Linked DNA regions of Schizosaccharomyces pombe. The gene in region 1 interacts genetically with each later gene. Each region holds a gene or a part of one and is shown in the gene's direction. Other genes may lie near its edges.

Evidence for each region. Genes that interact genetically often act in the same process or in processes that back each other up.
Region 2: of upf1 (region 1) and cip2, a mutation in one rescues a mutant of the other (synthetic rescue), as found in Schizosaccharomyces pombe (one study listed by BioGRID).

What each region holds. Positions count from the first base shown.
Region 1 is NC_003424.3:801,606-806,133, reverse strand, and holds the start of upf1 (ATP-dependent RNA helicase Upf1), read left to right. Parts: upstream 1-2,000; 5' UTR 2,001-2,046; coding exon 2,047-4,528. Other genes in the region: DYRK family protein kinase Pom2, read right to left, coding at 1-1,138. UniProt on the Schizosaccharomyces pombe protein: RNA-dependent helicase required for nonsense-mediated decay (NMD) of aberrant mRNAs containing premature stop codons and modulates the expression level of normal mRNAs. Also capable of unwinding double-stranded DNA and translocating on single-stranded DNA.
Region 2 is NC_003424.3:342,565-347,092, reverse strand, and holds the start of cip2 (RNA-binding protein Cip2), read left to right. Parts: upstream 1-1,921; 5' UTR 1,922-1,963; coding exon 1,964-3,694; 3' UTR 3,695-4,528. Other genes in the region: efg1 (rRNA-processing protein), read left to right, coding at 475-549, 654-786, 849-979, 1,042-1,254. UniProt on the Schizosaccharomyces pombe protein: Regulates global gene expression after oxidative stress. Interacts and stabilizes mRNAs and may regulate their transition between different cytoplasmic components after oxidative stress.

The sequences.
Region 1 (4,528 bases):
GTCTTTCTGCATGAACTTTTGAACCGGGAGCCCTCGGAAGTCTACGTAACGTAGAAGCGGATGAATAACTAGAAATTGTTGAACCTGGAGGGCGAAATTTCGAATTTTTGTTAAACTTCTTACCACTTGGTCTGTTACCATAAGTGTCCAGAGGAGTTGTAGAACCAGAAAAACCAACAATTTCTGACATAGGAGAATAAGGCCTATTATTTAAAGGAATACTTTTATATGGACTAAAGTTGAGATCTTTTTGATGATCATTGTCTCTTTGGGACGTTAATTTCGTAGATTGTGATGCATGTCCGTATGAACTGCTCTGAATATTATTATTAAAATTGGATGGTTTCATTCGCGAAGCCATTCTTGCAGTATCATCAGCTCTTTTAGAATTTTTTCCGAGGGTTCTGGGTCCATTTACTATAGAAGACCGTGGTGAAGCAAATTGAGAACATTCATGGAATTTCGATTGTTGTGGATATTCATATTTGTTAGTTTCAGAAGATAATGTTTTTTTTTTGTTCATGGGATAATTCGTTCCTCCTGGGGTTTCATCTAGCTGATTAATAGTTTCTTCGTAAGCTAAAGTTTTTGTCTTGCTTAATTTGTTGAGTGGATGTCGGTTTTCGACTGTAGGGATGGTTTCATATTCTTTGCTGGAATTGGGATTAGCAAGCTTTTCTAGTACAATGCGACGGTTTTGAGATATAACTGGGTTGTCTAATTTTCCACTCTGTATGTTGTCATGAAGCGATGCATCTTGTAAACCATCCAAAGTACTCAAATTTTTATTCAGAAAGATTTCTTTTAGATCTGCAAAATGATGCAATCCTTTTTTCTGTGCCAAGTGTTCATCTTTAAAGGACTTCTCTTCTATTCCAACAGCCGATTTTTCTTCATTTTGATCGGGCTTGTTAGGCCTTTTCACACTATTTATTAATTCTGTAAGTATTTTGCTATTGTGTGAATATTGGCGTTGCGATAACAGAAATACGGGCTCTTTAAAAGTAGAATGAGCTCTTAGAGGACTGCATGTCTGTTCAGTCAGATTATTAGGAGAAAGGAAATTAGACACTGGGGCTGAGGAACTTTTACTCTCCTGTTTAGGCAGCGTTTCGCTTGTACTTATTAACCCCACCATTTATAATTGTTGTCGAAGTTGATTAACGTAAAGAAAGTAGAAAAATCAAATAATTAAAGGCACTAGCTGCTTAAACCAGGGTGGGGAAAAATGAAATGTTGTGAAACGAAAAATAATTTTAAAAGAAGGAATTAAACCCGGATTTGGAGAACAAATACTTACAAGTAAATCAACTTGTTAAACGCAGCATTCGAAGTCCCCTCTTTGAAGCCTCTTCAGTTCATGAAGAGTTTGCCGCTAAGCACCACATAAACTCCAAGAAGTTCAGACAATTAAGAGGCCTGAAATTCTTAAAATTATTTCAATTTGGATAGTTTCACACGGGCAGTTGTTGTATAGGTGGAAGTAACACACTCCTTGAAAAGTTCAAAATGGGTAACGGTACACTTGGTATGCTAACTTCCAGAGCGAGTAGATACAACTCTCATGTTAATAAATTTGTATAGAGTCCGATATTAAGTTAAAAATATCTGTTTATTACTTTTCGACAACTGTTAGTCAAAAAATTAATAGTCTTCAATATGATTGTTTACATGGTCTCAGCAACCGTTTATATAATTTTGTTTAATTCCAATAGTGAGCACCGATTTGTGTCACAATACTACAGTGCTCTACCTTATTTAGTAATCTATAGTACGACCAGCTGTTTCAAGAACGTAAATGATCATCTCGAAACTGACAAAATTTATCTACCCTGAATAGATATAATATCTTACAAGTAAATGAGTCTTGCTATTGTTAGTTTTTCCCATTAACGGCGTTTTTTGTTTACGTTTTAGGGAGCTTCCTAGCAGCACATTTTAACTCATTAAACCTCACTAAATGACTAACCTTTCTTTCTAAAAATGTGTTACAATTATTTACACTTTGCAAATTGACGGCTTAATAACATATCAAGTTGTCTTTCCATGTCTTTAGGGCTACAACCTAATAATGATATTTCATCTTTAGTTAGTTCAAAAAATATGACTTCTGAAAATGGACTAGAGCATCAATTTGAAGAATTATTAGTCGAAAAACAATATTCTGAAGAACACTGTGCCTATTGCCACATAAAGAATCCAAATTCTATATTGAAATGTTTGCATTGTAATAAATGGTTTTGTAATGTAAGAGGGAAATCTGGAGCTTCGCATATCATTAGTCACCTAGTTCGTGCTCGACATAAGCAGGTTGCTTTACATAGCCATTCTTCTCTTTCAGACACAGTACTTGAGTGTTATAATTGTGGAACGAGAAATGTGTTTCTATTAGGATTTATACCAGCAAAAGCTAAGACAGTGGTTGTTTTATTATGCCGACAACCTTGTGCTAGAGCTAGCATAGCTAAGGATATGAACTGGGACTTGACTCAATGGCAACCCATTATTTCAGATCGTCAGTTTCTTCCATGGTTGATAACTCCTCCATCCGAAGAGGAACAAAAGCTTGCAATCCCAATCACTTCACAGCAAATGGTTAGGCTTGAAGAACTTTGGCGTAAAGACCCTAATGCTAACCTCGAAGACTTGGATAAGCCCATTGAGGATGATTCATTACCTTCAGTAGAACTTCGATATAAAGATGCTCACGCGTATCAAGCAGTTCTTTCTCCGCTCATTCAAGCGGAGGCTGACTATGATAAACGACTCAAAGAATCGCAGACTCAAAAAGATGTTGTGGTTCGGTGGGATCAAGCTATCAATAAACGATATACTGCTTGGTTTCTCCTTCCCAAACTTGAATCTGGTGAAATTCGGTTGGCCATAGGAGATGAAATGAAGCTTACATATGAAGGAGAACTAAGAGCACCCTGGAGCTCCACAGGATATGTTATTAAAATTCCTAACAACGTTTCAGATGAGGTAGGTTTAGAACTGAAGCGTTCAGATAAAGTACCTATCGAATGTACTCATAATTTTTCCGTCGATTATGTTTGGAAATCTACTTCATTTGATCGAATGCAGACTGCTTTGAGGTTATTTGCTACAGACGGATCACGTCTTTCAAGCTTTTTGTATCATAAATTGCTAGGACACGATATCCCTCCTTCCTTCCTGAAACCAAAATTACCGTCTGATTTATCGGTGCCTAATCTGCCAAAATTGAATGCTAGTCAGAGCGAAGCTGTTCGTGCAGTATTAAGTAAGCCACTCTCGTTAATTCAAGGGCCGCCAGGTACTGGAAAAACTGTCACCTCAGCATCTGTAGTCTATCACCTGGCCACGATGCAATCACGCAAGCGTAAATCCCATTCTCCCGTATTAGTTTGTGCACCTTCGAATGTTGCTGTTGACCAACTTGCTGAAAAAATACATCGTACAGGACTTCGTGTCGTTCGAGTTGCCGCAAAGTCTAGAGAAGACATAGAATCATCGGTTTCCTTTTTATCTCTTCATGAGCAAATTAAAAACTATAAGTTTAATCCAGAGTTACAACGTTTATTGAAGCTACGAAGTGAAAATAACGAATTATCTATTCAGGATGAAAAAAAACTGCGTATTTTGGTTGCTGCTGCCGAAAAAGAACTATTACGTGCGGCTCATGTCATTTGTTGTACTTGTGTTGGTGCTGGTGATAGAAGGATTTCCAAGTACAAATTTCGTTCAGTACTTATTGACGAAGCTACACAGGCTTCAGAACCTGAATGCATGATTCCTTTAGTTTTAGGCGCCAAACAAGTAGTACTTGTTGGTGATCACCAACAACTGGGACCGGTTGTTATGAATAAAAAGGTTGCATTAGCTAGCCTTTCCCAATCACTTTTTGAGCGACTGATTATATTAGGAAACTCTCCTTTCAGATTAGTTGTGCAATATCGTATGCATCCCTGTCTTTCAGAATTTCCATCGAACACTTTTTATGAAGGTACTCTTCAAAATGGTGTCACTACTTCTGAGCGTATTGCTAGACATGTTGATTTTCCATGGATACAACCTGATTCGCCATTAATGTTTTATGCAAATTTCGGTCAGGAAGAGCTGTCGGCTAGCGGTACATCATTTTTAAACAGAACGGAAGCCTCAACGTGTGAAAAAATTGTTACCACATTTTTAAGAAGCAACGTGCTTCCTGAGCAAATTGGTATTGTTACTCCATATGATGGTCAGCGTTCCTATATTGTTCAGTACATGCAAAATAACGGATCAATGCAGAAGGATCTTTATAAAGCTGTTGAAGTAGCATCGGTGGATGCGTTCCAAGGAAGAGAAAAGGACTTCATTATTTTGTCGTGTGTACGTTCTAGTGAACACCAAGGTATTGGTTTTGTTAACGATCCAAGAAGGTTGAACGTTGCATTGACTCGAGCAAAGTATGGTGTAATTGTTCTCGGTAATCCAAAAGTCCTTGCTAAACATGCTTTATGGTATCATTTTGTCCTCCATTGCAAGGAAAAAGGATATTTAGTTG
Region 2 (4,528 bases), 460 kb from region 1:
TCGTCAAACATAACGTTTAGCACTAATTTGCTTAACGATAGCTAACAGAAATGCCTTAACAACGGACTGAAAAGAGGCTGTCAAATTCAAAGGTTTTCTTTTTGCTATTGATGATTCTCTTAACAATAGTAGTATTAAAATACAGACCGGTTGCTAGATTAACTATCTTTTGCATACTTTTTAATCTCTAGGGTGACTTCGGTGTCGAACAAGCGATTCTTTGATGTACTGTTGAAAGTCTAAGCTTTTAAATCACTCCACAAGTACAACATATAAATCTACCTTGAATAAGTGTGAGTGAATCAAATATTTTAATCATAATTACCAGCTTAAACTTATATATAAAAGTAACGTGTCACTTGAGAACCTAGCAGCTGTAAAAATTGCAGTCCTTTAAGTTTACTACTGTTCTTCACCAGAACTAATTGTTTATGGTTTGAATTTCTATTTATCTATTTTATTGAGCGTTTTAGCATGCCAAAATTTAAGGGCCCTGGACTTTCTGTGCTGAAGAAAAAAATTCGCGACAATGAGAGATTATTGAAAAAGGTGTGTAATTTTTTTGCTGGTTTAAAAACATCTGCGGTTTCAGTGTGTAATAAATATTACCTTCCTTTTTATGTTAATGAATAAGAAAACTAACTTCCTTTAAGGAGAATTTGCCTGCAAACATTCGTGTTGAACATGAACGAGCTCTTTTGGGTCTACAAGAGCAGTTGTCTATGGCACAGTTAGAGCATAAAAAGCAAAAGATTTTTGAAAGATACAAAAAAGTTCGATTTTTTGGTATGAAACATATATAAAAACAGCATTTTTTGTTCAGTGAACTTGCTTACTGATTTTCTCAGAACGTAAAAAAGCAGAACGACGTATTAAACAATTGGAAAAATCTTTGAAGGATGAAACTATGGATGATGAGAAACGCAAGCAGTGTGAGAAATCGATGCGTAAATGTCAAATTGATCTTATGTATATTAAAGTATGTTTGTATTTTCGACTTCATTTCAACTATCAACTTGGCTAAGATACTAACCTATTTAGGAATACCCCCCTTTAACAAAGTATGTTTCACTCTACGCAGAAGGCACATCTGAACAGACCGAAGAAACTCGAAATCGCATTTGGGCCGAGATGGAAGAACGCTTTAATAGTGGCAGAAAACACAAAATACCATCTTCAGGTTCCAACAGGGTTCCTGTACAGGAAAAAAGTTCAACTGGTGGTGATTTGGAAGATGAATTTTTGCAAAGATAAATGAAAACTTGGATTGAGGTTTTGGAAATAAAGGGATTAAATAGACGAAACTGTAATAATATGATTCATTCTTTTTAATAAAGGTTGTGAAGTTTCCATATGAGTTATCGAGCAAGGTATTCTTTTTATGCAAGTTTATTTAAATTTTTTCTATGTCATATTGCAATGGGATTTGCTAGGGTACCAAAAATAGAACTTGTGGGAGAGAAGCTTTTGGATCCTAAGGTTCACTGAAGATATTTTTCACATATTTCATTCTATAATCTAATATGCTAAAATTCGAATGATATTTCATGGAATATCAAATTAATAAAAATATAAATTTACAAGAATTTAAGTAAAAACAAAAAATTAGGACTTTCATTTTGTTCTGTTTTAGGTGGTCGAATTATTAGACAGTTTAATAGTCTTTATCATTGCAGCAGTGTTTTTAAGAGCTCTTAGATGGACTTTCGGTTTTATCATCACAGTACCCTGTTATTTGCCTGGCAAAAAGTTACCTAGTGGGGGTTTAAAAATCAACACCAGTATGTAGTATATACATTTTATAATAATTATTTTTACATTTGCTTCTATAGATTGGTATATTTGAATTTATGGGTTTAAGACCTCAATAATATGGTGTAGTATATTGACTTTGCGCCCTTGGTGGTGTCCACGGATACCTAACCTCCGCACCACACGAAGTTACGACTTGTTTAGTGTCGATATGGCTGAGGGCACAAGCCAAAGGCCATTAACGCCTTTGTCGCAGGCATTTTTGTCAACTAATACTCTTTCTCCTGCTTCTTCCCCTTTAACTTTCCATTCTGAGGCTGCATCTCTGCGTAGAAAACGGTCCAACTTTTTCCCCAAATTAGATGAATTAAATGGAGCTCAAGATGAAGAAATGAGAGGTCTTAATATTCCTGGAGGATCAGGATATCTCGAGAACCGATATGGTCGTGATAAGTTTACGTTTTCTGATGCAGCCGTTAACAGTGCTGGAATGGGAGGGTCTGGCATATTTTCCCACAACAATGCAGATGATGGTTTGGGTGATGGTTCTTCTACGGTTTTACCAAGTTCCCTTAAACAAATGCTGGATCCTGAAATTTCAACTGCCAATAATCCATCTGCAAAGCCTCGTCGAACTCGTCTTCAAACTGCTTGGAAAGAAGCAACTAATTCAGCAGGCCTTTCTCTCCGGTCTGCAAGTGCTTTAGATGTACTCAAAAATTCTGGACCTGCTACTACCTCATTACTTTCCTCAACAACATACCCTTTTGATAGTTTAAATGCATTCAACGAACCATCCCATTCACATGTACCAAACTCAGCTTCTAGCACTGCTCTGTCTAGAGGTATGAGCAACTCTGTAACTTTGACGGCACCCCCTGAACCTGATGAAGAGACCATTCCTACCGCGATTGTTATTAAAAATATTCCATTCTCCTTGAAGAAAGAAGTGTTGTTTAAAGTGTTCACTGCATTAGACATCCCACGTCCATACGCTTTTAATTATCATTTTGATAACGGAGTTTTTAGGGGCCTTGCCTTTGCTAATTTCCATTCTCCAGAGGAAGCCAAAACGGTTGTGCAAGTTTTGAATGGCTATGAAATTACTGGTCGTCGTCTTCGTGTTGAATGGAAGCGTCAACTACCGCCTGCGGAGCGTGAACGTGTTGAGCGTGGTAAACAAGAGAAACGCGCTGTAGAAGAACGAAAAAATCAATTGAAATCTCCGTTTTCTGTTGCCAATATAGGTGCTGGCATTGATTTTGATTTGAATGATCCAGCTATACTCAATGTATATTCTCATATCTTGTTATTTTATTATCGCAGCGATAACACTAATGATCTTGTATTTGATTCTTCAACCACCCAGGAAGAACGTCGGGTTGCTGCCTTATTAGCTTCCCGTCTCAATCTCAATCATTCAGTTACTGGTGACGGTGAAGCTAAGCAAGTGGTTATTACCATGCCTAGTACTCATTTTACTCCCGCTAATAATTCGAGTGCTAACCACTCTCCTTTGATGGCCCCAAACGCCAGTACTTTAAATCCTTCTTCTTTAGGTGCTTCCAATTTGAGCCAACCAAGTCTTGCAAATCACTTGAGCTCCTCTGGTTTATTTGACAATGGTCTTTTCTCGTCCGGTGGTCTTTCTAGTAATTTTTCAAGTCTTAGACGACCCGCTCCCTCTATGCATCTTGCGGATAGCATACGTTCTCTCAGAGGACTAAATGATTCTAAAGCCTTTTCCGACATACGTAGTATGCCAGCTACTCCGTTAGAACTTGCTACTCCTTTTGCTAATTTAAATGTTTCCTCTCCACTGGATCGCAATGCGACTAATTCATCAAATACTTTAAACGGTAGTGCGATGAACGATTATTTTGCAAGCCTTACTCCATCAAACACCGGTGCTATTGGATCCAGAACTTTTACAAAGAATTAGTCTTGGATTTTTTGTTTTTCCCTGCTTTTGATTAATCTTGTTTTGGCTATGTCTCGGGTTTTATTAAGTTTCATTTACCTTACGATAATAAGCGCTTTCAAGCAAATTTATACTTTGTACATAAAAACGACGAGTGAAATTATCTCAATGAATTATCCATTTTTACGACCTAGTGTTCAATTGAGGACATGATTTTCATGCTTATATCGTTTACATACTCACTTCGGATGTGCATGTGATCGGGCTCATGCTTTTAAACTATAATGTGATTCTTGTAAAACGAAAAGGATTTAATTTAATAGATGATATTTTTCTCTCTTCAAAGTCACGTTTATGATTATTTTGAGAGGAATAAAATGGAATTTTCTTTTGTGAGATTTTTTTAAACTTTTGTATCGCAAATCCGGTTTGACGATTCGTATACTGGGATACGATGCTTGAGCTATACAGCAAAAGTCTCAAATAAAATTTACGATAACCGATCTTACGTGGGATGTTAATGGTGTTATTTGCAATAATTTGTTGTTTTGATTGTGTTTTGTTCTTATGTGTAGGACCTTTCGTTACTATCAATACCTTTTCAATTTCTATATCTCATATGTTTTGTACGGACCCAGCTTGTTCACGTTAGTGTCACTCGGTTTTTAACTATTACGAATGATGGCTTCATTTTAATGGCTGTTTGGCTAATTGTGCCTAAATTCTTTTCCGTGTTATTGATTTGATAATGTGTTAAAGAATTCAATTTCGATTATGAGAGTTCGGTTGTCATTTGTATGATTTTTTTCGTCAAGATATGATTGCACTATTTTTTTTTTGTTATTATTATTTTTT